2 linked regions of the Arabidopsis thaliana genome follow. The protein of the gene in region 2 purifies or fractionates together with the protein of the main gene of each other region. This does not show direct contact. Each region holds a gene or a part of one and is shown on either strand. Other genes may lie near its edges.

What was found.
Region 1: the proteins of AT4G32605 (region 2) and AL4 fractionate together in Arabidopsis thaliana (co-fractionation; one large-scale study listed by BioGRID). This does not show direct contact.

Annotation. Positions count from the first base shown.
Region 1 is NC_003076.8:9,153,195-9,169,284, reverse strand, and holds AL4 (alfin-like 4), read left to right. Parts: upstream 1-8,791; 5' UTR 8,792-9,063; coding exon 9,064-9,160; intron 9,161-9,252; coding exon 9,253-9,285; intron 9,286-9,848; coding exon 9,849-10,077; intron 10,078-10,228; coding exon 10,229-10,361; intron 10,362-10,443; coding exon 10,444-10,719; 3' UTR 10,720-10,967; downstream 10,968-16,090. Other genes in the region: AT5G26220 (ChaC-like family protein), read left to right, coding at 4,672-4,780, 4,870-4,946, 5,278-5,334, 5,438-5,494, 5,587-5,627, 5,709-5,860, 5,950-6,107; AT5G26200 (Mitochondrial substrate carrier family protein), read right to left, coding at 10,989-12,017; AT5G26190 (Cysteine/Histidine-rich C1 domain family protein), read left to right, coding at 13,987-15,657. UniProt on the Arabidopsis thaliana protein: Histone-binding component that specifically recognizes H3 tails trimethylated on 'Lys-4' (H3K4me3), which mark transcription start sites of virtually all active genes.
Region 2 is NC_003075.7:15,725,456-15,741,496, forward strand, and holds AT4G32605 (Mitochondrial glycoprotein family protein), read right to left. Parts: upstream 2,523-16,041; 5' UTR 2,410-2,522; coding exon 2,236-2,409; intron 2,075-2,235; coding exon 1,749-2,074; intron 1,158-1,748; coding exon 974-1,157; 3' UTR 746-973; downstream 1-745. Other genes in the region: AT4G32600 (C3H4 type zinc finger protein), read left to right, coding at 4-282; AT4G32610 (copper ion binding protein), read right to left, coding at 2,921-3,282, 3,456-3,720, 4,122-4,442; AT4G32620 (Enhancer of polycomb-like transcription factor protein), read left to right, coding at 6,513-8,783, 8,890-10,458, 10,886-11,141, 11,241-11,767; AT4G32630 (ArfGap/RecO-like zinc finger domain-containing protein), read left to right, coding at 12,860-12,946, 13,047-13,108, 13,243-13,330, 13,407-13,468, 13,560-13,647, 13,771-14,184, 14,265-14,684, 14,896-15,018 and 5 more.

The sequences.
Region 1 (16,090 bases), on a different chromosome or scaffold from region 2:
TGAAATAAATTTATAAATGTTTTTCATCCAAAAAGCCACTGAATTTTGTAACAATATAAATTTATAAACTTTGTAACAATATCAGCTCGATCTAATTATATTCGAAATAATCTATGTAAAAAGTCAATCGTTGTTCCGTAAAAATATTTTTGTAACGATATATTTATATACCTATTTTATCCTTGATCTATTCAAGAAATTGTAATATGACTTGAAACTTTCATTTAATAGACCTAAATAATGAATTTATACCTACTCATTTCAATATAATACTTCCTCTATTCCATTTTATAAGATTTTTTTGGCTAAAAGTACAAAAAAAAAGAAATGCTTTTTCATTTATAAAAGTTTAACCAACATAAATAAATACTGCACAATTCAATTGTTATAAGCTTTTAAATTTAATTCATAGAGACTTGAGAAAATCTAATAAAATGAAACAAAAAACCTAAAACATCCTATATATAGGTTGGGACATAGAGAGTACAATAATAATAGTAGTCGCTTAGAATTTATATAAATTTTATCTAATAATAACCAAAATAGGGTATTTAAAACGTTAATCACTATTCACTACTCTGTAAATATTAATTTGTAATTATATACTATTCTATACATACTTTTTGGTAAATCTATTCAATAAATTGTAATATGGCTTGCAACTTTCATTCAATAGACTTAAATAAATCTATACATACTTTAGCTATTTTTGAAGAGGAATTAAATCTCCTACTTTACTCTGTTTTTGACTTTCAGAAGAAAAATAATTCTTCTCATTTTTTTCAGACTGGTGAATACACAGATGAATTCAGAACAATTAAGAATATACTCTTTTCTTCTAAAAACACCTACCAGTTAGACCCACCTTCGTATTTCTTTTTTTTAGTAGACTATACCTTCGTATTTCACATATCATAAATTGTTAAGATTTCTATTATAACGAAATGAATTCAGAAGATGACATTCAAATGTTAAAACGTTAACTGTTATGAAACATGACTATATATGAAACATGACTATATGTGATGAATACCTTCTAATTAACAAATATTAATATTTTATTTTTCTTGTGTGATCTTTTTAATTATTTTGACTGTTACTGTATTTTTTTTTTTTGGAAATAATTTTTTTTTTGTGTATTGAAGTAAAACCTCTATAAATTAATAACTTCTATAAATTAATAAGTTCTTCCGGTTCTGAGTTGAGACTAGTGTAAAAATTGATACAAATCGATAAATGAATAAGATAATAACTTTTTTGAAAATCCTATGTAAATATCTGGTCCCATCAATATTATAAATTAATAATTTCATAAATTTATGATTATGTATATATATATATTTATATTTATATTTATGAATATATATTATGTAAAATATTTAGTAAAATATTACTCTATTATTTTTTTTTCAATTGATATTAATTATTTGTATAGTTTAATTCTAATATTTTTACTACGTAGAAAAAAGTTTAATTTGTTTTCAAACATCTATAAAAATAGTTTTCTACTAGTAATTGGTTTAAAAAAGATTATTGATTGTATAGAAAAAACTATTTTTTAGATTAAATTTTTGTAAGAAATCACAAAATTGGTAAAATTTCTCTATAAATTAATTTATCGATAAATTAAAGCTTTTTCTAAATTAATATTTTTTCTCGATCCCAACATTAATTTATATAAGTTTTACTGTACACTATATACTTCCTGTTTTTCTAAATATTTGTAGTTTAAGGTTTTACACACAAATTAAGAAAACATACAAATCTCATTTAATTTATTTCTTTCCTATAAAAACATCATTAATTACAACTAATCCAATCAATAAAAAAATATGATGTAAAATATAATTGGTTAAAATCTATTAAATAAATTTAATTTTTGTATAGAAACGTGAAAAACAACACTTATATTAAAAGAAGTAAAAAAACCTTTAAATTACATATAATTAGAAACGTATACAGTAGCTACTAGTGTGACTAATGATTAGTCGAACAATTAGTAAAACAAAAAAAATGGGTAGGTTACATGGAAATAGACAGTTAATGATAACCAGTGATATGTGTTTAGTAAGATCTTTAGAGCACCTCCAATGTAGAGAGTCCCTTCAAGGGCTCTCTCCCCTTTTTAATGATTAAATTTTAAAAAAGAAGAAGTAGAGAGCTTTGTGTTTTTTTTATAGTTTTTTATACTCCAATGGTAGGTTCTCTAACATGAGTTCTCTAAAAAAAATATTAAAATAAAACTATTTTATTTTATATAACTTAATAATTATTACAAAGCATAAACTATTAAACATACATTATTCTGAAATATTTTGAAATAGATGTGGAAAAAAATGGAATAACGATCAGTTGTTCTGTTGATTGTTGCAAAAAATTTCCCTTATATGTTCTACCAAATCACCTTTCAATTGCAAATGCATCTTTTGATCACGAACTTGATATCGAATGCCCATAAAATCTCTGAGACTTGTAGGCATACATGTACAATAAGATAAATCGACTTGTGAAGTTCAGTTTGCTTTATATTTTGTTGTTTTAGCAAATTCCCAAATCTTATAGATATTTTGTTAAAGTAAAGGTCAAAATCAATGTAAGTGGAATTGTATTGATTTTCATGGCTGAACCATTTTCAAAGTTGAACTAAATTCTCAAGTACAATTGTATGTTAGCATATTAACAAGATTACGAAGCACACTCGCAATTAAGATAAAACAAAACAAAACAGAGTGGTCTCTTTTTTTCTTATTTGTTCTTCTTCCACCTACAACACACTTCTTCTTGTTCTCTTCTTCTTTTGCTTACGAGTTACGATTGTTCTTACTCTCACCATCTTCTCACATCTTTCTCTTCCAATCTCTGTTGCATATTGTTAACAAAGATGAGATTCCAACAGTCTCTCTTATTGAGAGATAAAAAATGGAACCTATCTCATCAACACAAATCCGGCGTCTGCCAATTAAATAAATCCGGCGTCTCAGATCCACGATTACACACATCATCGCCGTCGACTAATTGCAAATCATACCACCGGATTTTTGTTTTGTAGAGAGAGAGATGAAACCGTCGGGTTCTTTTTTGGCGGAGGAAACAAAGCACTAGTGCTTTATTTTTTTGGTTTTGTTACAAATAAAACCCAATCACATTCGGCCACGTCGTCGCCTCTCTCACTCTCAATAATCTCTCTTCGTAGAGCCAGCTCTCTCAATTTTAATGACTTCTGTAGCATACTAGCATCGCTGTCTCAACGACAATATTTATTACATGCTCTGAAAATTTAAAGAGTTTGTGAGACTGATCGTCACAGTGTCGCTGTAAGACTACTTTCGGCGAACAATAGAAGAATTAATTGAATCAGCTAACTTAATTAATTTTCAATATTTTGGTAACAACTTTTATATTTCCGTGAAGACAAAAATTCAGTCACCGGAAATATATATCTTAGTGATGTTGCTCTGAAATCAACGACGTTGGTGCCATTCTTTGACCATCGATCGTTTCCTTTGCTTTCGTCGGCTTCTACATTTCTGCCGTTGAAGGTCGTCGTCAACGATACGGTGCTACACATGCCCTACGTATACTGACTATATAGAGCGTAAATGTCTAAATAACAAAAGAAACATTATGACGGTGGTATAATTAACAATTTGGAGTTGAACAATAATAGTATATAATGACTTTAGTATTTGTTTAGGGAGTGACAGTAATTACAAGTTACAACCAAAACGTGCCACCAAATCCAAAATGAGTGGTCCAACACCAATGAACCCACGGCTCAACGTGCTTTCAAGCTAATATAAATAATATGGCTGCAGAACCGATACTAGAGTCATTTTGTTTCTTCATTTTTTGGTTGTACTTTCGTAGAAACTATATTTTCTTAAGAAGGCCCAACTATTCTCCCCATAAATAAATTCAGCCGTTTTAAGAGCCCAACTTGTAGATAAAAGAAGATGCGACCCAACTAAGGACATCCACTTGTGTAGCTTACACCAACTTATAGTAAAATTTAGTCATCAATTTGACTCCCAAAACGAGTCACTTCTCCATAATCATCTCTCCCAACTCAACCAATTACACATCGATCTCTTTCGAGTAGCCAATCATCGTCAACATTACATCCATATACACCAAATCAACAAAAAAGATAGATATTTTGAGAGTTGTGCACTTGTGGCTCTGTCCACTCCTCTCCATCTCCCTTTTGTTTCCACCAACCAATATTTAAAGACAAAATTTGACTTTTACCCAAAAAAATATCCTAACCAGAATGAAAAAACGTGGGTTTGGGCTAAGACTTATGCTATGTTGGACCATTTCTGTCTCTATTAGGTAAGAATAATAATAACAAAAAGGTGTCTTGATTCAATGTATCACAAACTAAAAACAAGAAAGAAAGAAAAAAGATGCGTTAGATTAGAGTTAGGAAGAGAGTAGGATCTGCTTTAAATGCCGAAATGTACGGTAAAAAATGTATAAACCTCAAAAAGCCGTCTAGATTCAAATCATTAACTCCCACACATCTCGGGATTCTATTTTTACACCCAAAATCTTTTTTCACTCTGTATATATTAATACAATTCTCTCCCACTTCTTTCAAAAATATCACATTCTTTCTTCTTCTCATTTTCTCTAAAGATTGTTGTTTGTGTGTGAGGCTAAGGATCAAAGATGGTTTTGTGGGTATTTGGATATGGTTCTTTGATCTGGAACCCAGGTTTTGATTTTGATGAAAAACTCATTGGTTATATCAAGGACTATAAACGTGTCTTCGATCTAGGTATGTATAATAACAACACATTGTTTTTTTGTTGTTGTTGAAAGATTGAATCAAATTGTTTGCTTATGTTTTCTTATTCTTTTTTGTAGCGTGTATTGATCATAGAGGTACTCCTGAACATCCTGCTAGGACTTGTACGCTGGAGCAATCCACCGGAGCTATTTGCGTAAGTCATTGCTTTTAATTATTTTATTAGAATTTGGTGTTCAAAAAAAATTAATTTTATTAAATAAGTATAGTAAATAGAAGATTGTGGAAATTAGTTGCAAAATAATCACTAGTGTGTTGGAATTTTCGTGCCGAATTTTAACGAATTTCTGGTTATAATTATTTTCTATATCTTTTTTGTATTTTTGGATTAAAATGCACCATTTATTTACAAAATAGCACTGTCCATTTTGCCATATTTAGCTTTAGAAATAGCTTTATACTTAATTAGTCTATGGCAAAAATGCAATTTGAAATTGATGTTGAAAATTTCTGTTTAAATTGAGCAGTGGGGTGCTGCTTATTGTGTTCGTGGAGGACCAGAGAAAGAGAAACTAGCAATGGAGGTAAAAAGAAGATTCTGTATTTTTATTGGTTTAGTTTTGTGTTTGTGTGTTTATTTTGTTTGGATCTTAATATATGTTGATATGGCTCATGTTTCTTCTGCAGTACTTGGAACGAAGAGAGTGTGAATACGACTCAAAAACACTTGTTGAGTTTTACACTGTAAGAAACTTGTTGCTGTTTTATTGTTGTTGTCTTTTTCCCAAATTTTAGTATTTTTATTTATTTATTTGATTTCTATTTCTTGAATGCAGGAAAATGACACTTCCACGCCAATCGTTACCGGAGTTATTGTGTAAGTTTTAATCATAAATATCCCTTAATGATTCTAATTAGGAAATTTCAATGTTGAAATCAGTTTGGTTTCTTTGTGTAGCTTCACGTCAACACCAGACAAAGTGTCGAACAAATACTACTTAGGTCCAGCTCCATTGGAAGAAATGGCGAGGCAAATCGCTACGGCTTCGGGACCTTGTGGGAACAACCGAGAGTATCTTTTCAAGCTAGAGAAAGCAATGTTCGACATTGGTATAAGAGAGAGCTTTCTTAACGACTTTATATTAAAGAAACCACTGTTTTTGGTATGATTTTTGATAGATGAAATGTTGTGATAACAGAGCATGAGGAAGAGTATGTGATTGAGTTAGCGAATGAGGTTAGGAAGCAACTCGATTTACCGGAGGAAGTGAAGGCATTGTTGAAGCCTATTGTTTCTCATGTATCCGTCAAGTCTCAAGCTCATGTTTCCACTCGTCAACGGGTCTTTGCATCATGAAGACAGCAAAAGTTATGGAGCTAACTTAAAAAAGCATTGTGGTGACGAGGCTAATGTTAACTCTTTATCTTTCAGCTTAATATTTGATCACATCTTGACCTTGAGATGTTTTGTTTTGCTCTGCATTTATTGAGAATTCATAACATTGTATGATATGAGATGCAATTTATGAGAATAATAACCGATCTTTAGCTCTGCCAATTGTTATAGATTTCTCTTTGGTACTAGACTATAACTCCATATAGACACAATCAAGCATTTGGTAGTGAGTATTGAAAACAATTTCTATTCTCAATACTTTTCGAAGCCCTCATAAAACTCTCTAAATTCAGTATTGTATTATTGGGCTAAGCCCAAGAACTATATAGCTTAGTTGGGCTGTAAGCTTGTAACCTTCTTATTTCTCCTCCAAGTTGAACTGAAAAACCATTTATCAACAAAGTACTCTCTAAATTGAATGATTAGCAGTTCAAAGTGACAAATCAAAGAAGCAGTCAATTTATATCTTATATATATTACGAAAGAGAAATGAGAAGAGTGTGAAGATAATTTTGTTTTTGAGATTTTTCAATAAAACAGTGTGTTTACAACTGTTACACAGTTTTCTAACTTACCATGTTTAATTGTTTATTATTTAGTGAAACAAAATCCTAAATTTCCAAAAACTCAGACCCAATAAAACTCAAACAAAGAAAAATAGTCAATTTTAGATTTTTTTTACCAATTTTAGAAAATTATATGATATTAAGAAATTAATGATTTTTTAGAATAAAAATTTCTTCACAAGTGTTAGATTTAATTTATTAAATAACATATGTCAAAATGAAAATAATAATAATAATAATATATGTCAAACCAAAACTAATTAGAATCTTGCCATTTGTCGGATTTTGTTAGACTTATCTTTGTGCAATAACTTTGCCAAGTTGGATTTTAGTGAGACTTAACTTTATGCAATCCCAAATTTTAATGTTTTTTCTTTAAGATTAGTGAAAGTTTCACATATGTATCTTTCTCGTCCAATTGAATATGTTATTTTCCAAATATAAAGTTTGATAAGCGAGAATTATATCAAGACGATAATAGAAGTTACCTTAATTCAAATTGTGGAAAAATCATATACATATGAGTAATTGGAAAAGTGGAAGATGAGCCGATTTATATAAATTTTGAATTTTGTTAATTGTGAATGTAATAATAACTAGCGAAAACATTAAGAATTTTTATGCAACCGTCAATGATTTCATGGGATCTTTATCAAAAGATCAAATTGAGAAATATTCAATGACATCTGATGCATATCACAATCTTTGAATGCAATATAGTTCAATGCGCTTATCGTCTTGCTTGCATTATTACAGAACTTATTGATGGTATTGGGATTTTGTATCCAGTTTGGGCAAATAAAGCCATCAGATCACTATCTTGCGTGTCTGTGTGACATGTAATGAGTTTAGCTTGGAGACTTCAAGCCCATTTTCTAGAGTCAAATTTAACGTTGCATTTGATTTAGAAAAAAAATCAAAAGAATTCTTGAAGATCTTGAAGTGTACCTCATACAAAGATTAAGGATTCTAGAGGAGGTGTTTGACATTTGAATCTATCAACATTACTACTCTCTCCGTGTCTCTTCAATTCAATTTAGAAAACAAAAATATATTCATTGCTTTAAGTACTTTGTTCAGTAAAACATAGTTCTTATTCTCTTTTATCAGTCTCACTCTCACCAAATTACCTACAAGTTAAGATTTTCTATCCACATAAAATATCAAAATTGAGGACTGAATCATGATTTTATAGATAACACTACTTCAAAATCTTACTATATTGGAATTAGATATGATTCATAAATTCATGAAATCCATGAAACTACAATTTTATTCCTAGTGTATAGTTCGATCTATCAAATTGTATATGGGTTATCGATATATTTGGATGATTGACACGAAAGAACCAAGTATTTTGAATAAACTTTTTTCCAAAATATTAATAATGCATAGTACTTATTAAAAAATCAAAAAGACCTTGAAAAAGAGAAGAGATTGAACTTATTTATCAAACACCAGATCACCAAAAATTTGGTGCGAAAAAGGTATCTAGTAACTAGTAAGACTATTTAAAAGCTCTCATTAATCAAAACCAGACTATTATTACTCTTTTAAAAAAAAGACTAGACCTCGAGTGAAGAAATAAAATTAACAGTCAAACTTATTTCTCAGATACCAGAATACCAAAAATTGGCGCGAAAGACAAAACGAAACCAAAAAATGTAGAACAAAGTCAAACTTATTTCTTAAATATCAGATTACCGAAATTTAAAGCGAAAAACTGAATATTTGATAAACACTTACCGAAACCTCTCACTAATCTAAAATAAAGTATGTATCCCTTACCATGTTCAAAAAGAGCGCGAATGAAAATATAGAAAACGGTCAAATTTATTTCTGAGTTACCAGATTACCGAACATTTACCGCGAAAAACAGAAAAACGGTCAAATTTATTTCGCAGATACCAGATTACCGAACATTTGTTTCGAAAAAACAGAGTATCTAATAAAACTTTCTGCAATCTTACAACCATTACAATTTAATGTATCATTAACACAAAACTCTTAATTTCAAGCTTGATAAACATCTATTACCCGAAAAATAAGCCAATCCAATTAAAAACATATCCATAGATACAACAACAGAAATCAGGAGATACGCGTCAAGATCTAAGAGGATGAAAGATAAAACTTATCGTGCTCTCCTCCTCATCAGATTCATTTTGCGGACTCCTCCTCATCTTATTAAATCCGCTTAATTGTTTTTGGGTCCGCCCTTTTTCTCTTTCACATCTTTCTTTCTCTCGCAAACCCAAATTCTCTCAGCGCCGGTCAAATACTTGTCTCTCTCTCTCTCTCTCTTTCACTCTTGTCTTGTCTCCTTCGAAGCTGTTTGTTCTGTAAGAAAGATGGAAGCAGGTGGCGCGTACAATCCACGCACTGTTGAAGAGGTGTTTAGGGATTTTAAGGGTCGTAGAGCTGGCATGATTAAGGCTTTAACCACTGGTAACAATTTGTTTTTTCTTTCTTCTTATTACTATCTCAGTTTTGTCACCGGAAAAAAACTGAATTTTGAGATTACCCTTTTGTGTGTGCAGATGTTCAGGAGTTTTTCCGACTTTGTGATCCCGGTGAGTGTTGTTGTTCCTTTGAGATTTGATTTGAATTAACGAAAGTTTTGATTTTTATTTGTGTTTTTTGAATTTTTCTATGTTTTGCTCTGTTTTAATCTGAGTGTTGTTGTTTCAGTGAAGCATTTAGGGTTCATAGTCTCTCTCTCTCTCTCTTTTCTGTTTATGATTTTGTTTAGATTTATTTGAATTGCGCTCCAGTGTCGAAAGTATTGATTTTTGTTTGACTTGGTTCGATTGTGTTTTCAACTAAAGAAAAAATTTGTTTGTGATCCTTGTGAGTGTTGTTGTTCCTTCGAGATTGATTCTCGCCGGCGAAAGTTTGGTTTTTTGAATTTGCTTCGTTGTGGTTTGTTTCAATCTGATTGTTGTTGTTTCAGTGAAGCATTTAGGGTTCATAGATTCTATTGTCTCTGTTTTGTGGATAAAATTGTGATTTTGTCAGATTTATTTGAATTGCAGTGTAGAGTTTGAGCGGAGTCAAAGTGTTGATTTTTTGTTTGACTTGGTTTTAATTTAAGGTTTTTTGAACAATTGTCATCATTTTCCTTTTGTGATTATAGAAAAGGAGAACCTTTGCCTTTACGGACATCCAAATGAGCACTGGGAAGTGAATTTGCCAGCTGAAGAGGTTCCTCCTGAGCTCCCAGAGCCTGTCTTGGGTATCAATTTTGCCAGAGACGGGATGGCGGAAAAGGATTGGTTGTCCCTTGTTGCTGTCCACAGTGATGCTTGGCTTCTTGCTGTTGCTTTCTTTTTTGGAGCCAGGTTTGGATTTGACAAAGCTGATAGGTATGTATATCCTTCTCCTCTTTAAGTCTAATCTTCTTACATCTATGTTCCTTGGTGGTATATAGATGCAAGCCTCTCAGTCACTCATTGTTCTACTCCTTCACCGTTTATGTAGCTCTCTGTGATTTATGTTCTTTCACATTTGTTACAGGAAGAGGCTTTTCAATATGGTGAATGACCTCCCAACAATCTTTGAGGTTGTAGCTGGCACTGCTAAGAAACAAGGAAAAGATAAGTCCTCTGTTTCCAACAACAGCAGCAACAGATCCAAATCAAGCTCCAAGGTAGAGACTTTGTTTTCCACTGTACTTCTTCTCTACAGTTTAATCCTTGTACTAATTCTGGTTTCTTTGTCTCACGTTACAGCGAGGATCTGAATCCCGTGCCAAGTTCTCAAAGCCGGAGCCGAAAGATGATGAGGAGGAGGAAGAGGAAGGTGTGGAAGAGGAGGATGAGGATGAGCAAGGTGAAACACAGTGTGGAGCATGTGGTGAGAGCTATGCAGCTGATGAGTTCTGGATTTGCTGTGACCTCTGTGAGATGTGGTTTCATGGAAAGTGTGTTAAGATAACACCAGCAAGAGCTGAGCACATCAAGCAATACAAGTGCCCTTCTTGCAGCAACAAAAGGGCTCGTTCCTAAATTTGTTGACCGCTCGCTTCTGTGTATCTACCTTTGCATATGATGATGAACAGCTTAACTGTTTGGTTTAGATCAGATTTGTCATATGGATTTGGTAATTTAGGAAGACATTTTAGTTTTTTCATTGTTACATTTTGGCGATTGAAGGGATAACTCTTTGTTTAGGGGTAATGATCTTTTGCTCTGTTTTATGTTTGTTTATTAACATTCTTCAAACTCAATCAAAAGTATTTTGGTTAGTCTTAACACAACAAGGTTTTATCAATATATCATTTCTGCTTCTTTGTTGCTAGGCGCTTCAAGAACTCGTAGGTTGTGATCATCGTTGTTGCGGACATCGACATTGAGACCCATCTTGGTCCTAATCCTCTGTAACAAGCACCAACTCCTCCTTCCTTCATCAAGCTCTTCACTGACTGCATCACTGTCATTGCTCGTCTCCTCCCGTTCTCTTCTGCGTCTAAGACTTGCAACCGCGTCTTGATTGTGTCTACTGGCATAGTTACTAAAGCCGAGCAACCGCTTGCTGTAGCTGCACTCAACGCTTGAACCACCACTGAGCCACCAGCATCTTCCTTGTGGTTGTAGGAGTGCTTGTATCGAGACCAAATTGATTTTTGAGCCAAAGAATAAGACGCCCACCAAACCGCGTTGGAAGGTGCGTAAGTCAAGATCGAGATCCCAAATCCTCTGTAGAACCCTCTTGGTCCATCTGTGTAAAGAATCTTTCTAAAAGCATCAAACCCATTTCTGTATCTGCAAGAGTTCATCACTCCAGGAAGATGCTTACTCAAGGAGACATCGCCTTGAACCATAAGCCCTTGACTCACAATATCAATCGGAGTCCAGACAGTCTGGGCAGCCACAGCCGAGGTCAAACCAGCTGCACCATTAGCAACAGCCAAAGACGTAGTATCAGACAATCCTAACCTAACAGTTGCTTGACCTACACTACTCTTTGTAATCTCTAGAGCAGTCATATAGAGAGCACGAGCCGGGATGGTTCCAAGCAAAGATGTTCCAAAACCCTTGTAAAACCCTTTAAGACCTTCAAGTCTAGCAATAGCCAGAGAAATGTTGGCACATGAGACACGAGTCGGAGAGACTTGTTGCCTTGTTTTGAGAACTACAATAGGGTAAAGAGCAGTGGATACACCGGAGAAAAGAGCAGCACCGAGGAAGAAAAACCTCGATTTATCAAGCATTTGCCAATCTATATCATTTGACATATGTACCTGAGAAGAAGAAGATGAAGTTGTTGCTCTTCTCTTCTCTTCCATCAAAGCACCTAAACTCATTTTGAGCTAATCTTACCTTAAAAACCAAATCAAGATTCCAACTTTAGAGAGTTTTGACCTGAGTAAGAGATGAGAATAGAGTGTATGATTGAATTGTGATCAAAGAGAGAAAATCTCTGTGGATTTATTAGCTTCAAAATCTATGAACTCGTGTATTAATATTATTATAGTGAATATAGAGTCAGAGCCAAAACGATGGGTCGTGTGGATAACATAAAAGGAGCGGCCTTTAACGGACTCAAGAGGTGTGTGAGGAGGAGTAATGGGACTGGGCACGTGGCAAGTGTTGGTTGGTTTATGTTAGAGAAACTCACAGTTTTTAAGGTTACATGAGGCTGAGAAGAGAGTGGCTTCTGTCGGAATCGCCACTTGTTTCATCCTTCTGTGGATTATATTTATTATTTTATTTTATTTTTACTGATTTCTGTAGGTTTTGCATTTGATTATTTTGTGATATAATGTATTTATCAATAACTGTTTTAGTTACATTTTAAATAAAATTAGATGCATATGTATAATAGTATGGATAACAGAGCCTATTTATAGAATTTCTTACATTTTATGGAAATAAATAACTTTTTTAAAAGGTCCAAGAAATAGTCTAGATTGCAAATGCAAGTTTTCGATTGTAAATGAAAGTTTATTGATTTTAGATGATAAGTAAAGTGTTAAGTGTATAGTGTTTTGACAAACAGAATAATACTAAATCTTGTGATCTATGTGCTCTCTATACTAGTAGTCTAGTACTTAATATAATTGTCTTTATGTTTATTTTTGTCAATCTTCTCGGTTCTTATGATCAAATGCTTGTTTATCATTGTTAAATCGTTTGATTGCATGTAATTTCGTTTGATTTTTCTTAGGATAAAGTAGAAAAATCATTTCAAACTGATTTCCATAATCTCACAATTTACGAGAGTCAGCCGTTGATTCCTCATATGTCTCGTCAATTTTAACTGAAAAGCCTCGAATTCAAGGGGCCATAAATCTCACTTTTTATGAGAGACCTAACTCGTCACTGCACCAAATGCTGCTTGGTTTCCATGTCACTTTAAATGTTGTGGAGCATAAATTTAATGAGTTTAAAGGATTTAGATATAAATATTAACTGTTTTTGGTATATGTGTTGACTGTTGTGTTTAGTTGTATAGTTCTGGTGTACATGTTCAGCATTCTTGACTACACTAACACTTCTCATACCAGACTAGTTCAAATCTAGCCAAAACCGATCTCACTATTTTACTGGATGAAAGTAGCTTTTAAATATCCGTTCAAATGATTTAAACTATTTTTTTTTTTTTATATACTCTATCGGCTGATCTGGTAAACAAGGGGTTAGTCAAGCCGCCTGTATTTCTAAATACTAGATAAATTAATTAGGTTAAGACCCAATTGTCAAACTTTCCAAACAAATGTAATTTTGTTTCAAAAGAAAATGGAACTTAGGTACGAAGGTTTCACCCTTCATCAAAGCTTGCGCCACTAGACCACAGAGGCTTGGACAGTATAATACTATTTTGACTGGCCAAGTAGAAGTGAAAGAATTCTCAGTAAAAATCGAATATAAGGGAGGAATGGATTGACACCATATCCCCAATTTTTTACCACTGGGTCACTACTTTTGACGTTATTGTTAACACAATACATAAACATCATTTTTTTTTGGACATCACTTAAATTGTCTCTCTAAATAAGACACACGTTTATAAGCAATTTCATATATTTTCCTCACCTTTTTGATTCCTTATAGAAAAGTAGCAAAGAAACGTGCCCCAGCTAATATTCGGACATAACTTAATTCAAAACAAAGCAATAGTTTTTTGTAAGTGTTCTCTTTCGTTTACTTTATAAGAAAGGTTTTTGTTACAATGATCTAGACGAAAGGAATCATTTGCTCCTTAAGATACATCATACACAATAATATAAAAATATATATACACATATTATGTAAATTCAATACAATCAAAACATGGGAGAGATAGACAAAATCCGTGACGGGTTTCTTGGTGCAGTTAAATTGGCAGTTCATCGTCATTTTTTGTTCCCTACAAACATTTCCTCTAAATGCAGAGTGTGTTCCATAGAGAGACTTGAACCCACCAAAGTCTTGACTTGTAATCAATGCGAGTTTTCTCTTCATGAAGACTGCATTGAGATCACCAGCCCTTCTCATCATAAGCATCCTCTTAAGCTGCATGAACGTATCATAGGTTACCGTAGACGGGACCAATGTTGTCTTTGTAGATACAAGTTATTGGATATGTTCTACAATTGTTCACGTTGTATGTTCGAGGTGTGTATGGCTTGTCTGAAGAGGCCATTACTTATCTACAAGACAACATCCCACAAGCACCCGCTTTCCCTTATGCCCATCGATTCTGTCTCCTTCACTTGCGATGCTTGCGGCTCTGTAGATAATTCCTCATATCCTTGCACATGTCTTCAATGTTGCTTCATCATTCATAGAGATTGCATTGATTTACCTAGTGTTATAAGTATTAATCGTCATGATCACCGTATTTCTCATGTCGATATTCTTAGACCGGAGGAGTGGATATGCGGAGTTTGCCATAAAATTATCAATAACCAATATGGAGCGTATTCTTGCTCGGTTTGTCATTATGCAGTCCATTCCAAGTGCGCAATAAGGGATGATGTATGGGATGGGAAAGAACTTGATGGAATACCTGAAGAAGAGGGAGATAACAAAACCGAGGATATAACGCCATTTGAGGTGATTGATGACAAAGTTATAAAACACTTTAGTCATGAACATATATTAAGATTTATTTATCAAGATGTTCTTATTCGCGACGAAAACCAAAGATGCTACGCATGCGTTCTTCCATTCTACTACGATGCATGCTATATATGCACGCATTGTGATTTCATTCTTCATGAAACATGCGCTAATCTTCCGCGGACAAAAAGGCATGAGTTACACAAGAATCACTTTACTCTTTACCCGAATCCTAAACCTGGAGAAGATCTCGAGCTTTCCAAAAGCTTTTTCACATGTGTTGCTTGTCAAAGACCAAGCAACGGGTTTAGGTACGAGAGCGGAAATGTAAAGTTGGATGTTCGTTGTGCTACAATCTCAGACGAGTTTAACCATGATAGTCATTTGCATTCCTTATTTATCCTCTCACTTTTTCCTCGGGAGTGCTCGGCGTGTGACCAAATGGTGTACGGCTCACTGAGTTGTGTTAAACTTGATTTCTTTTTGTGCTTCAAATGTGCTACTTTACCAAAAGAGGTCTTCAACAAGAACGACAAACATCCTCTCTATCTACGATACAGTGGATATCGCTACGGTAATTATTGGTGTGAGATATGCGAAAAACCAACCGATCCAAGGAAGTGGTTTTACTCATGTGACAAATGTTGTTCGACTCTTCATATCGACTGCGTACTCGGTAAATCACCTTACATGAGGCCAGGGCACAGTTTTCTTTTATGTAGTCGTGAGTTCCAAGTGGTTTCCAATAACCATACATCTCGACCGTTTTGTACTATATGTTCGTTGCGATGCAAAGATGCTTTTGTTCTGAAGAGCAAGGATGAGACTGATACATCATGCCTATGTTCTCTTAAATGTCTCGATTCTCTTGTGATGAGTATGCAACGTATTAAACTGTAATCTAAATAATAATGTTGTGGCAAAGATCACATTAATTACTTTCATAGTTGTGTCTTAATAAGTTCAATGCTATTTTTTTTATATAAATCTCACTACGTTCAGTGGTTAGTCTAAATCTGTGATCTATGCTTAATAATTGCCTTTATTTTTATATATATCAAATGTACAATCTCTATGATCCAATGCTTATTTTTCACCATTCAGACATTTTTTGTAAAAAGATTAACCAGATATCGCAAATACTGTTTCAGACCATTCATAGGACACAAATCTTCCACGCTTCGTCGTTTATGTACCTGCAAGGGAACATACGTTACGAATACAAAGCATTTCCTAATCAATCTATATAAACTTCAAAGACCTAACGCACAGATACAATACAACATATCATTTTAGGACTAAAGACATAACAGAAAGGCAAACAACGAATATA
Region 2 (16,041 bases):
CAGGTCTGTTGCATTTGCTTAGCGAAATATGCGAATAACGAGGAGTTAAGAGAGCTTCCATGCTCACATTTCTTCCACAAAGAGTGCGTTGACAAATGGCTGAAGATCAATGCCTCTTGCCCTCTATGCAAGAGCGAAGTTGGGGAGAAGAACTCTGATTTGACTAGCCAAGGGATCTTAACCTCGCTCTCTTCTGGGGAAAACGATAACCATCAACAACAGCAACAACAACAACGGAGTGAACTTAGAGTTGAGAATGGTTTGGCCAATAATGTTATCTAGATCTTCGAGATTTGCTCTATGTCCGAGAAAACGGCAAATTAGCCGTTTGGCGATGTTCCTACACAAAATGGGGTTTGCTTCTCATTGCTAAGAAGGTGAAGAAAGACACGGCGAAGATCCTGTTCTGTAAATGCTTTTTGCCGTTGTGAATTGGAACCTCTTGAGTGTAGAAGAGTTCGAGAATCGGTGATTGAGTTTGAGCGTGTTCCAAATACTTGTTTTTATTTATTCTCTGAATTTGTCACGAGTACCACCTCTATACGAGAGCCAGGGATCTTTCGAGACCTTGTGCAGCTAAAGTGCCTCATTCATGGTCTCTCTGCGAAAAATTAGAATAAACCAAATAAAATATTTATACCTTTATACTGGACCACAAAACTTTTAATGGCTTCAACGATTTTGTTATCTTAGTTTTTGAATTACTAGACACTGACTCGTTGGCTCGGTAAAATTAGTGTGAGAACCGGTAACTTACAAGAAGCATAAAGATCATAATAGTTTTGCCTTTAGTAGAGAGAGCTCACACAGTCGAATAGAGAACTTTTTCTTAACATTAATCTCGGATGCATATGTTTTGAAATGGTTTGAAAATAAAAGTGATTCAGTTCCTGAAACATTTAAAAGCGGTATAGTGCCATACTAAAAAAATTAACCGCAGAAACCGATCCAGAGACCGAAAAGACACGTCCTTCTAGGCGGTGTTTTCTGCAGATGGGTTTTCATGAACAAACGTGCCAACTGATTTGAACCATCGCAGTAGGTTACGGTGATCCTTTACATAGAGCCATGCCTGAAGAAAGGGGAAGAGACTCTCGTTCACACCTCGTTCCTCTAGGAATCCATGGAATACATCTCTCATCTTCTCATCGAGCTCTCTGTCAAAACAAATAGAAACACTTACTTGCCAATCGAGTGAATTTTCTATCAATTGTAAGTTACGCATTATCTTTAGAACAGAGAAAACAGAATGCTGAATAGGATGCACAAACTCTCTTCTTTAAAACTGAGAAATGCAATGAGAGAAGAATGTAAGGAACATGACAAGAGACAAATCCTTGATTCAAAGGCTTCATAATAGAAACAAACCGATTGTGTGTCAATAGTGAGACTGCACTACAAATATGTCACATGAGGAAGAGCAGTAACTGAAACTGAAAAATCGAAATGTCTAGAACACATCTACCACCATTCTATTCTACATTCACATTCCTCAATAACTGGTACAAAAGAGATAAGCTGTTTCTTAAAATCATCCTTGAGAGAGTCAGAGATTATTTAAGAATGACGATATACTTAGTTGGCCTATTCTTAGTTTGAGAGCTCTGAGTGTAGCAAGACGAGACAGCTCAAAACAGAAATGAATCACCTATAAGGTCTCAACCATCAACTGAATAACTAGAAAGGCAAGCATATATTGAGTAAGTCTCTAAACTCACTAAAAAGAAGTTAAAAAGAGAGAAACTCACTCAAAAGAAGGGCCTGTGTATTGAGTAGGATCATCAGACATCTCCAAAGCCTCAAGTTTTGGCCTCATGGAAACAGAATGAATACCCAATGCATCAGGGTAAAGGCCACAAAGGAAATGCAAAGAATCAGGCTGATTTGGCTTTGATACAGCAACATGAAGGAACAACTGGTTGATCCCACCATCGTCTTCTTCATCACCTCCGTGAGCCAAGCGCATAACGAAAAGATTGATCTCTTCATTTCCAACAGATTTCTTCAGAACAGCACCAGTACTTCCTTCAAGCGACCCTTTCACAATCTCAAATGGTGACGGAGGACTCACTTTCTGCAAAATCAATCAAAAATCTGTAAATCCCACCATAAACCCTAAGTGGAGGAAGCAGCAGCTAAGCTAGGGTTTAAGTAACAGTACTGAAATTTCAGTTGTACCTAAGACGAGACATAGAGAGAAAACACAGAAAGAGAGAGAGAAGAGGAGGAACGAACCGGAGGAGGAGTCATCTTAGAAACCTCTAAGTAATGTTCCTTGAGGGAACGCAGAAGCATCGAATCCACTGCAGCTGAAACGTTGGCGCTCTTTCCACTTCCACCGGCTTTACTAGATAGCGCTCGCTGTAATTGATGCCGGACGGCGACATTTCCGATCACTCTTCTCCACATTTCTACTTCTCCGTCGTCGAGAGTAGCAAGCAACACGACGAATTGTCTTAAGAGAGTAAAATAAATACTGTACCAACTTTTCTTTTTCGTCGAATAAACCGCAAGAGAAATATACCTATTTAGGTTTGTCAAAAATATGATCTAATTCGTTTGATAAACATATAATTAAAATAATCAATTGATTTTGTCGATTCAGACTCATAGATTAACTTTATTAAGCGCTGGCTTAGCCACAACTAATAATATGTAAGATCAAGAAGTAGAAATTGTTGTGGGAGATAAAACAAATCCAAGTATAACCATGATGAGCAAAGAATGTATGTAAAAGGAAAAATTCAAACAGAGTTTCTTCTTGTCATGTTCCATTGTGATAGGATTAAAAGATCCAAAGTTATCATAACTCTAAAACACGACCCAACCACATTCCCCATCAAAAGATTTGTTCAAGGCAAGTAAGTCTCATATGAACAAAACCTATGTTCATATCACAACGGTGGGTGGATTGATTTCTTCACCTCACAGGTTGCTGATTGTAGTTTTTCTTTTCTTTTTTCTTCGCTGCGGCCAACTTTGCCTTCCTCGCAGCTGCTTCCTTTGCAGCAGCTGTTGAAGCACCATCAACCTCCTTGCTTGATTTCTTCTTCTTCATTGATGCAATCTTCTTTAGCCGTTCTTTGACGTCGATGGAAGAAGAAGACTCCTCCTGCTCAGCGGACTCACTTGCAGCATCCGAGTTGCTCTTCACTTCACTCTGGGATTCTTTTAGCTCCTTCTGTTTGTCCTTCTTTTTCTTCTTCTTTGAGGCCTTTGATTCTCCGGTTGTGTTCTCCTTCTTCTCTCCCTCATCATTCACTTCTTTCTTCTCCCCCTTATCTGTTCATATTTGCAGAAGAAACGTCTATCAGTATTAGCCATAACATGGTTTTCTCAGCCAGTGATACCTCAGCGTAGAAAGGTATCCACAGATAAATATCACCAACGAGTGAATAGAGTAGAGTAGAATTGTTACCAACGAGTGAATATAGTAAAGTGAAATTGTGCTATACCTTGAGAGTCTTGTTGACCATTCTCATCTTTGGTTGCAACTCCAAAATCTGCTAGCAAAGCCTCAAGCTCAGCAAGTTCCTTCTTTTTCCTCTCTTTCTTGGAAAGTTGCCTCTCTGCCTCCTTAGGAGGAGCACGAACTTCAGGAGCCTTTTTCACCTCAGGCTCTGCTTCTGGATGAACTTGTGTCTCTGTTCCCTGCTCGTGATCTTCCTCCACATCATCATCATCTCCATCATCAAGAGTGTCTTCTTCGCTTTCAATTTCCTGCGACATTGAAATCAAATGCATCTCTATGAGAAACAAATGAACAGATAGGCACACAACCACGGTTTAGAGAAACCATTGCACAACAAACTTACATTGCCTAGAAAAATTTCGATAACAATGCAATTAGATATATGAACCTTCAGGAGACAAAGCAGCTTACTTCACAATAACATTAATTTCCCTTTCAGAATTCAGACAACACAAGCCTAAGCCTAAGCGAGATAACAACAGTAGAAAAAAAGGCCAACTCATTCAATTCGTGGAAGCATTTGAAATCTAAAGAGGCTTATTGCAAGAGACATATTAAACCAGTGTTACAATTTTCAACATGTGAAATGCATAAAGCTATGATGATGAACCCAAAATCAACATATATATGAAAGATTTGGACTTGTGACCTCAGCGGGAACGTCTTTAGCATCTGAATGGGAGGCTTCAGAAGTGCTCCACAGGGACTGAGGTGGAGCAGTGGTAGCGTAATAATCATCATCTTCATCATCGCTATCGATATCAGCCCAAGCCTTTGCTTTGAGAGGCGTAGGTGCCCAGAAAACCTGTGGCTCAGGCTCCTTCTGTGAATCTTCTCTCTTAGAGGAAGCTTTGCTCTTACCAGCCTTATCAGACTTCTTCTTCTTCCTCGAAGTATCCAAAGCAGCAAACAAGTTGGTGTTCTGAATCGGCATCGATCCCTCATCTCTCCTGTTTCCACCACCAACCATCTTTTTTCTTTCCTCGATCACCACACAATAAGTCACAGAGTGTTTTCTGATAAAAACCCAGAAACGAAGTTTCACAATTTCAGCTGGAAGATGAATCTCGAGTAAGTTAAGGTAATGAAGGATGGGAAAGGAAAAGCTGATGAATTGTCGCTATTTTCTTAGGAAAGGATTGATCTTTAAAGCAAATCCCTTGAAACTCTGATGGACGGCGATTGAAGAAAGCGATGGATGCTATAATAACTACTAGGGTTCCAGACCCAGAAACGACAAAATGTATACTGGTGATTAATACAAGCGTATAATATAGGAAACTGAAATTGAGAGACAAAGGAGAAACAAGAGAATGTTGGAAGCTTCGGGAAGCGATTCCTATAGAATGCGAGAGAGAGATGATTAGGGTTTTCTTAAGGGATGTGGTGTGTAGCAATCGTAGCGATTAGAGCTACTGGGCTACACGACAAGGGAAGGGGATCTGTCTCTATTTGGGATGTTATCTCCTCTCTTATGGATCATCAAACCGAACATTTGATTACAAAATTGAACCGAACATTTGATTACAAAATTGAACCGAACATTGGATTAGACTGTCTAATTAAACCTTAATTTGGTTTATGAACTCAATATTAGTTTTTCCAATTAAGCCAATTTTATTTTATTTTTCTGTATTAAAAAAGCAAATTTTGGGTTCCAATATACAATCCACCCGCCAAAATATTTTGTCAATTTTTAACGTATTTTTGAATCGAAAAAGGAATTTCTGAACTTTTATTGTTTTTCTTCTTGTGTTTATACATTGCTCTAAATCTTATGATACGTTAATAATGACCTTAATTCATATTTATAAGGAAACCAAATCTATTTTTTAAATATTCTTAAAGCTTAGTTTACACTATATAATTAATCAAAAATTGATTCCAATCAATCTCTCTACTACTAATTCTTTTTGCTATATGTCTATATTTAATAAAAATATATATTTAAACACATAATAAGGTAGTAATACACTAATACTTAAATATGGTCCGAAAACTCCTAATAATATGTATATATATATTTTTACAAAATATTGGAAAATTGTTAAGCTAATGGATGAATGAAGTTTATATATTAAAAGAAAATAACAATAATATATATATATATATATAAATTATTAAAAAGATAATACTGTAATGTGATGATTTTATACTTAAATTATCCCCTAGTATTCTAGTAATAATAGTTGTTAAGTTGAATGATGTCTCTAACAATTGTTGGCTAGGTGGACAAACACAAGATTGCGGTAGGTTAGCAACACACGTGACAACAATAAATTATTCTCTCTGAAGAAATCTTTAAATCCTGACCGTCCAAACAAATATTTCGCAGCTGAGAATCTCGAACGTCCATTATATCTTTTCTGTTGCAGAGTTAAAAATTTAGTGCTTATTTCGAAACTAAATATGGACCGTAGATATAGTAACGCGTCTCCATCGGACGGTACCCGTGATACGATGTTTATTTGGAATATGTTTTCTTTATAACTGAAAAAACCTTACTCTCGCGGAACCAGACGAAACCCTAGCTCTCCCGTTTCTCCCGGTTAAAAAAGAAAAAAAAAAGAAGCAAATTTTGCTTTTTTTATTTTCGGCTAAATTGAACGAATACTTTTGGGAAATTTTCGATTGTTTGATTTAGGGATCCGATTCGCAGTCCGATTTACCGAAACCCTAATTTTGATTTTGGGATTGTGGCGACTATAAAGGTCCTTAAGAGACTCGATTTCGTCTGATAAAGTGATGCAGGTAGGCATGCAAATTTCTCTCTTTTTTTTTTTAATTTTTTGCAGTTAAATTTTGCTTGATTGTTGAAAAAACAATTGCTTGGATTTCAATGCAAAGTTTTTTCCTGAAGTGGGATTTGATCTGTTTCTTTGGGTGACTTGTGTGTTCTTCTTTTATCATACTTTGGGTACTTTTTGTGATTCTGGGTTTGGTTTTGGTGTCACAGATCTGAAAAATGTTTGCTTGCGTATATGATGGAATTTGAGACCTGCTGGCTTTTGATTCTGGGTATTGGTTCGAGGTGGCTTTCATGGAAAATAGACTAGGTAACTCTAATGGAGTGGGAATTTCGAAGAAATCCAGGTCTTTAGATCTTAAGACGCTCTATAAGTCTAGCATTTCCAAGGATTCAGTGAATAAGAGCTTTAAAAGAAAACATAGGTCTGGGATTGATGGTGATCAGTTGAAGCAGGACAAGAAGAGCAGGAAAGTTGTTTCTCTAAGTAGTTTTAAGAAAGTAGGTAGCCAGAACGAGAGTATTCTGGATAAGGCATGCAATGGCACCACTATATTGCACAATTTGGAGGACTCCAAGGAGGTGGGTTTGGATGAGAAATTGTGTGACAGTAATGGGCTTCAAGTGATTTCTGTTGGTTTGGCAAGTAGTACGATTTATGTTCCTAGACGCAGGAGAGATTTTGTTGGGAGGAGTAGGTTTGAGAATGGCCTAGCACAGAAGTCTGCAGGGGAGTCTGATAGTCAGGAGGAGCTGGTTGTTAATATCCCTAAGGTTACTGCTGAAGAATCTAGTGTTCAGGATCAACCCTCTAAAGTTGAAGAGAAGGACTCTGACAAAGATATCAAAGAATCTAATTCCGCAGCTCCGTTGCAGTTGGAAAATGGGCATTCTAATCAGTCTCCAGTGAAAGATGATCAGCTGGTTGTTGTTAAACAAAGAAATAGTAACAGCAGAAAAAGGAAGTCCTCAGCATCAAACAGACGCGTGGGAAAAGAGGCCAAGTCTTCAGGTGATGCTTCTGGTAGAATATCCAAGGTATCACGGGAAGATGATGAGGAGAATCTTGAAGCTAATGCTGCAATAATGCTGTCTTCACGGTTTGATCCAAACTGTACCCAGTTTCCTTCAAATTCTGTTACTCCTGGTTCACCATCTGCGAGTAGATTGCATCCATTGCCTTCTGGTAAGAATTCAGTTGATCCTCGGTCCGAGTTGCTTAGTTCTAAATGTGTCTCAGATGACACTGATGATAGAATGTTGCGACCAAGGAGACATAATGATGATGGGAAGGGTAAAGTTCGGAAAAGACGCCACTTTTATGAAATTTTGTTTTCAGATGTGGATTCACACTGGTTGTTAAACAAAAAGATTAAAGTTTTCTGGCCATTGGATGAGAGATGGTATCATGGGTTTGTGGATGGTTTCGATGGAGACAAGAACCTGCATCATGTAAAATATGATGATCGTGATGAGGAGTGGATCAACTTACAGGGTGAAAGATTCAAAATTCTGTTGTTTCCTTCTGAAGTTCCTGGAAAAAATCAGCGGAAAAGGCGTTGTTCAGAGTCAAAGTCTACTCAGAAAGTAAAAGGGAATGATACTTCCAGCAAAGACGAGGAGAAGCAGAAGGAAAAGCTAGAAGATGATAGCTGCATGGAATCAGAGCCAATCATCACATGGTTGGCTCGGTCTAGACATCGGGACAAATCCTCCACTCTTAAGGCTGTACAAAAGCGGAAAAAAACTGACGTAATGACATCTAATGAATCTGTTAAAATGAATGGGGATGTCACAGATAGATCGGCTAGTTCTCTTGCATCATGTGGATTACCTGGACCAAGTAAAAACGAGTTGGAAAGCTCTGGTTTTCGGAATGGTAGCATATTTCCTATTGTCTATTGTAGGAGAAGACTTCATACAGCAAAGAAGGATATCTACAAAGAGTCAGGTTACAATAGTGTTGAGTTTTTGAAGCAGTTTCTTGTATCAAAAAGTCCGGATCCTGGTGTAGAGTTTTTGCCTATTGAAGATTCTGGGGATCTGGAGCTTTGTTGCCCGTGGAATGAATCAGAGCAATTTGAGTTGTCCCTCAGCCTACAGGGTGTTTCCTTGATGAGCTACTTTCTTATGGCCGATGTTGACTGGCTTTCACGTGCTGCTCTTTTGCTTCGTCATGGTACACTTGTGACTTTGTGGCCAAGAGTTCGTTTGGAAATGATTTTCCTGAATAACCAAGATGGGTTAAGGTATCTAATTTTTGAAGGCTGCTTAATGGAAGTTGTTCAATTGATTTTCCGTATCTTGATGGTAGTAGATCATTCTAATAAGCAAGGAGCACAAGGAGCGGATGCTGACTTGCAGTTGCCAGTTTTCTCAATTGGTCTCCAAGTTTCTTGCATCCCAGGTTTCCAAAGGCAGCTTGGATTTCAAATCTACAGTTTCCATGAGGTGAAACATTCAAAGTGGTCATACTTGGAACAGAATGTCAGGAGACATTCTTTGCTGGTTAAGCAAGTATCAATTGCAGAGTGTACTCACAATAACATGAAGGTCCTGCAGAAGGTACAGTGATTCTTTAATGAATGTTCTGGTACATTGCTTCGTTGGTTATACTTTTATTTCTATTATCTCATACCAATTCGTTTTTTTTTTTAATCTTGCACATCAGGTTATGCAGAAGAGATCTAGGCATGGAATCAGCTCAGGCCTTGTTTCTAGAGGATCATCATCTGCTGAAGCGTGGCCCACATCTGTTTGCTACAAGAAGCAAAATACGTCTCCATTTGCACTTCTTTTTACTGCTCGGCCACCTACACTGTTACTCAGTTTACACTTGAACATGATAAGGGAGCTGGGTCATGATTCAGCAGACTTCCTAGGAATAGAACGCGATTTGGTAACACATAGAGGTTGTGATATGGCAGATTTTACAAATGAGCATTCTGAACTGTCTCTCAAGAGTAAGAGCCAAACTGATGAACCAATTATCACTTCTTCCAGAGCGCAAGAGTCAAAAGACCTTCATACTCCGTCTCAAAGTCAGCAGCTGGGGTCTGATTCTGAAAACTGGATGTCATACAGTTCTTCTGTTGTCAGACATAAGCATGAAACCAGGTCTAATGTTTCGGTGAATGGGATTAGTATTCAAGTTCCAATATCTGATGATTGTGAGGATGGTACTCCGCAGTCAAGTAATCTGGCCTTGAATATTCAAGGTAGTAGCAACTCAAGTCCAAAGGCCACTGCCCCAAGAAGTATGTGGAACCGAAGTAAAAGTTCTTTAAATGGCCATCTCTCGCATGGTTGGTCGGATTCAAAGGGAGACTTTTTGAACACTAATTTGGCAAATGGACCTAAGAAGCGACGTACCCAAGTGTCTTATTCATTGCCTTCTGGGGGTTCTGATTCTAGAAACAAAGGTTCCCTGCTCAAGGGGATGCCGAACAAAAGAATTAGAAGGTCTACCGCTGATGTTACCAAAGGTATTCAGAAAGATCTCGAGTCTAGTTTATGTGATGCCAATGTATTAGTCACTCTTGGTGATAGAGGCTGGCGAGAATATGGAGCTCAGATTTTCCTGGAACCTTTTGATAATAATGAATGGAGACTTGCGGTAAAAATCTCAGGGACAACAAAATACTCACACAGGGCACATCAATTTCTGCAACCTGGGTCAGTGAATAGGTTTACACATGCTATGATGTGGAAAGGTGGAAAAGATTGGACCTTGGAGTTCCCTGATAGGGGCCAGTGGTTCCTTTTTAAAGAGATGCATGAAGAGTGCTACAATAGAAATACTCGGGCTGCTTTAGTTAGAAATATTCCTATTCCTGGCATCCGCATGATAGAAAGGGATAATTTTGATGGAACAGAAACTGAATTTATTCGCAGTTCTTCTAAATATTTTCGGCAGACTGAAACTGATGTTGAGATGGCATTAGATCCTTCACGTGTTATGTATGACATGGACAGCGATGATGAGCAGTGCCTTTTGAGAATTCGTGAGTGTTCGAGTGCTGAGAATAGTGGCTCTTGTGAGATCACTGAGGACATGTTTGAGAAGGCAATGGACATGTTTGAGAAGGCTTCATTTGTAAAGCAGCGTGATAACTTTACCTTAATCGAAATTCAAGAATTGACGGCTGGAGTTGGATCCTTGGAAGCAATGGAAACAATATATGAGCTTTGGAGAACAAAGAGGCAGAGGAAGGGAATGCCATTGATCAGGCATCTTCAGGTACAATCTCTGATGCCTTTTCATCTTTTATTATTTATTTGGTTTTCATGTTTTTCTTGAGATTTAAAAATCTGCATGACTAGGCTCAACATAGATCTTTTTGGAATCGGGGGAAATGCAGAATTGTGGACAATAAGGCTATGTCTAGTAGTAGGTATTACTTAGTGTTCTTTTCAGGATATTGAATGATGTGGGTGTTTTATGCAAATGGAACGTCTATTAGGGGGAAAATTGCATCTTTTTGCATTCCAGTTTGTTGTGCACGAAGATGTCTGGAAGTCCATAACTGTAGCATCTTCTATAGTCTGTTGATTTTACTCCTTGTTGATTAGTCTTACTTGCTAGCTCAACAATAATGTAGTTACTCTGCTGCAATATTTTTAATTTTGCCTAACGTAAACACTTGTTTTCTACCCTTGCAATTCAGCCACCTCTATGGGAAAAATATCAAAGGGAGCTCAAAGACTGGGAGTTGGTTATGAGCAAAGCAAACACTCCAAATTCCTGTGGGTCGCAGAAGAAACAGTCACCTACTGAGAAGCCAGCGATGTTTGCTTTCTGTTTTAAGCCTCGAGGTTTGGAAGTCAAACACAGGGGAACAAAACACAGGTCACAGAAGAAACTCTCAGTTTATGCTCAACATAGTTCTGCTTTGGGAGATTATGATGGCTGTAATTCATCAGGTAACTCGTTTTTACCTGCTTGATATTCTATAAATCCTCTATTGACTCTGATTTTTCAAAATGAAGTCTGTGTTTAATCCAACTTTTCCATTTCTCTAGCAGGAAGAAGACCTGTTGGTTTTGTCTCTGGCGACGAGAGGTTTTTATATTCAAATCAAAGCTATGAGCACTCGAATGAATTTTCTGTACATCCAGGAACATATTCCCCTCGTGACCTAGGCATGGGATATTTCTCGAGCGGTGGAAATGGATATCATAGGAATCACCAAAACAAGTCGCAAAGAATCAATGGGAAGAGGAATACGAGTGAACGATGGGATGCAGGCTATTCTGAATGCCCCAGTTCCAATCTTGTCTGTTACTCCAACGGATCTCAGCGTCCTGATGTGGAAGGAATACGGAATAGTACAGACATTGATGAGTACAAATTGCGAGATGCAGCTGGTGCTGCAAGGCGAGCATGCGCTTTGGCGAAGCTCAAGCGGGAAAGAGCAGAGAGTTTGAGGTACAAAGCAGATCTAGCGATCCAGAAAGCTGCAGCTGCTCTCATGTGTGCAGAGGCAGTTAAAGCTTCTTCCGAGGACCTAGGCAACAACAATGGGGTAGAAAGCTCAAGCGAAGGATGAGTCAATAGATACCACTCTTGTTAAGTCTGGGTATTGTCACCTCTTGAGCAAAAGAAGAGATAGTGATTCGACATGTCCTGTTCAACACACGAGCTGGTCTTGACACGAATTAAAAAACGACCCAGATGAGCTCCACTGTACAGAAATTTGCCTCCCTCTGCTTTAAGTAAGCTATATTTTGATGCAGCAATAACACCGAACTGGGACTCTGAAACTTGATCTCATGTACCCATCGGCTGGGAATGTTCTTAGTAGGTTAAGAAGAGAGACAAAAATTGAGGAGATGGTAAAAAAAAAAAAAAAAAAAAAGAGAGAAAAAAGAAAAGAGGAGATTGTAAGTAATTTGGTTTATTAGGCTTCTTTTGGTAGAGAGATTTAGTTTGAGCAAAAAAAAGATTATTCTACTGCAAGTATTTTGCGGTGCTCTTCTTCTCCATATTTCTTCTCTGCCTTCTTTTCAATTTTAGTCAAGATCATAAAGTTTGAAAAATATTGAAACGAAGTCAAACTTGCAACACTTGCCATGTAGTCATATAATTACAAAAATTAGTTACAAATCACATTTGTCAATACTCTTCCAAAAATTTAGTATTCTCTTATAATTTGTAAAACATTGGGAAAAATGAGAGAGAAGAAAAGGTGGTGAGAGAAATTCCAACGGCGGGAAATCTTTGAAGTTAGCAGTTTTGTCGGAAGATGTCTCATTCGTTTGCTGGCTTCATGATCTCTCTGTTACTTATTTCCTAAATTTGTCATATCTTGGACAACCTCCTGAGAGAAGTTCTTTCTCATCATTCTTTCCACCCCAAATTCTCTTCTTCGACTGGTTCCTCTTCTTTTTGTAAGGTTTTTCTCTTCTCTTTTTTTTTTTGTTTGTTTGAACATTTTAGAGCATCAGGGGCTTGAAGCTTAAAATTTCCCATGTTTCTCGCATGTAACGTAAGATTAAGGATTTAAAGATGCACGAGAATAACCTCAATGTTTTTGGCTTAAGATAGTAATTTCTTCTCAGGTAAATGATGACATTGCTCTTTGATAGGATTTCTCATTTGAGATATTGTTTTTCTTCATGAGAGAGGCATTTTTCCAAGAATGAAGGAAGACGAGCGAACCGAAAAGGCTATCCGGAGTTTATTGAAGCTTCCTGAGAACCGGAGATGCATCAATTGCAATAGTCTGGTTGGTACAACATTTTTAGCTGATCATACGTACATTCATTTGTTGGAGCCAATGATCCATCTGAATAGCTCATTGTTGTCTAACATGTGAATCTTTGCAGGGTCCACAATATGTATGCTCAACTTTCTGGACTTTTGTCTGCGTTAACTGCAGCGGAATCCAGTAAGTCTTTTCCTCTTCTCCTTTCATTTTTCTTCTTTTGATTTCTCTATCAATCCAAGGAAAAACTCTGGTACTTGCAAGTGTTGGTCCAAATTACATATCATGCATGTGTTTCTTTTTGTATATATTTGCAGCCGAGAATTCACACATCGTGTTAAATCTGTATCAATGGCCAAGTTCACAGCAGACGAAGTTAGTGCACTTCGCGCAGGAGGAAACGAGGTTTGATATTGAGCTTCTCATTTTGTCTCAATCATCCATCTTCTAGTACTGTAAACTTTCATTGTGTTCTCTGCAGCGAGCCAGACAAATTTATTTTAAAGAATGGGATGCTCACCGTGATGGTTACCCCGATCGCAGGTTCTTGGACATTTATTAATCTCAGCCAAGTTAACACTAGGAGTAGCAAAATTTTTATATGTTGACCTCAGTTTTCTTTCTTTTTGTTCAGTAATATTTTCAAGCTCCGAGATTTCATCAGGAGTGTTTATGTGGACAAAAGATACAGTAGCAGTGACAAGATCTCACAGCAGAAATCGGTAAACTGCTTTTCTTACTTGCTTCATTACATTTACCTTTTTCTTGATTCAGCTTAATTAGCCAAACCTGAAGCTAAGTGTTGCAACTCATTTTGGGACAACATTATATGTTACAATGTTTAGGATGTCACAGAAGATTACAGGGAAAGTAAGAAGACCAGTGCACATGTTCTCGGATCTAGAAGTTTACACTCTGTGGATAAATCTGACATCGAAAGATCTAGTGCTGCTGGGAGGAGTGGAAGTGAATCTCTAAGGTTTTATTTTGATGACAAGAACCATAAACAACAACATGTTACGCATAATCCAAGGTCTAGAGGTTTACCAAAGAGTCCTATTCGCTTTGAGATAGTCGATGATAGGTTTAGAGACGATGGGAGTGTTAAGAGATATGATGCACGTAAAGATTCAAGAGGAAGCTCCAAATCACTTGACCTCTCAAGTAACAAAGACATGCCAAGCTTTCCCATTGTACGCCATACCAGCGAACTCAATATTGTAAAAGTTGAGAAAAAGAAGGATCCAGTGAATAATCAGGTAATCTACAGTTATATCTATTGCATTTTGTTTTATGCATTTTGTCTAGAGTTAATATGTGAACAAGTTGCATTTTGCAGATGACTGCATCATCTGAGAAAATGGAAATTCCTAGAAGTTTAATTGATGATGTACCAGTTTCAGAACTATCTGATGAAGGCATTATTAAGAATTCAAGTGAAATTCCTGCATCTCTAAAGACCACTGAGGAGCCAGCTCCTAATTCTTTGGAAGCTTTGTTGTTTGGATCCTCTGTTCCTTCTGTTGTCCCTGGAACAAACAACTATGAACTATGGAACACAAGTGATATTTCCTCTACTGAAAACTATACCGCAGTTAACCTCGGGACCCAGACAATGCCAGGAATACCAGACAGTGTTACCTCTTTTGCCACATCACCAACAACTGCACATGCTCATTCCGGTTCTTCAGGTCCAGTGGTACCTGTTGCTCCTGATAACTTAAATACAAAAGAGACGGCTACACTTGCAAATAACCAGGTTGGTCTCTGTAGCAGTTTTTAAACACACATTTACAAATATTTTCTTGAATTCAGGAGTTTAAGCTGCATCAACTGTTAGTAACAGTAGATGTAACCGGATCATTTACAGACTTTGAAAAAGAAGAAAAGACTATAGTTTCAATAAAACTTGTTCTCTTCATGTGCTAACCCTTTGCAAACACATGTGGCATCTACATATATCATCTAAGGGACCATCAGATTTCTCTATGGAACAGACAACACTGGCTATCACAGATTATGCTCATGGAGTTGGATCTGAGCATCATCAAGATGATGAGACACAATCTAGCATAAGAAAGGCGCTTCCTGAGGTAACGAACCCTTCTCTTATAACAGAAATTTGGATACTCTTTTGGGAATCTCTGATCATAAGAATCTAACCATTGGCAGGACCTTTTCACTGGAGGCTTCTCATTTGCCCCTCAGCAAGTTCATGGTCAACATCATGGCATGGGATATGGCATGCAATATTATCAATATCCTGTGGTATATGTTCCATTGACATAATTATTACAGCATCTGGTTTTATGCTGATATATGTCCTTTTTCTTAGCAGGCTATGGGAGCCTTAACATATACAGCAAAAGCAGCAAATCCCTTTGATCTTAGCTATGATGATACAGCTCCAAACCAAACACCACAAGTATGAATCCTAGAGTTAATTTCCTGATAGTATATATGATGAAAATGAATATATATATATACTCAGTTCCTTTCTCTTTTCTATGTCTTTTACAGTTTCCTACTATGGCATATGTGCAAGGAGGAGGCTTACCTCACGTGTCATCTCCAATAGGGTATTCAGATTCTTCAAGTCCAGCTGCAGATTCCATTGGACTGATGACCTCTCAGTCACCTTTTCATGCAACCGCTTTATCCCCAAACTCTCCAGCTCTTGCATCCCATCTTTCCCCTGGTGAGACGAAATTTATGTAAAAAGACTGTTTTCAGTGGTTGGAGTTTATATTCTAAGAGTTGAAATCTGGTGAACAGGTGCACTAATGGGGCAGCAATCACAGGTGAATATGTCCCCATCATTCAGGTACATACATACTCTGACTCTTCTTAATTAGTGTTCACTGAATGGTTCTTGACTCTAAATTGATTTTGGTGTGCAAAGGCAAGAGTATAGTGGTCTTGGTACAGAAGGAAATACGTTCAACGGAGTACATACATTTCATCAAGCAAACAATGGATATCCTTCTGCAAACCCAAATGCTTATGTATCCAGAGGAAATCCCTTTGAATGAGAAACAGCTTAATGCAGAAGTTTTCTGATTACGGAAATGGGATGAGATTTCGTATAATCCTTCTAAAACATGACTTGCTTGACG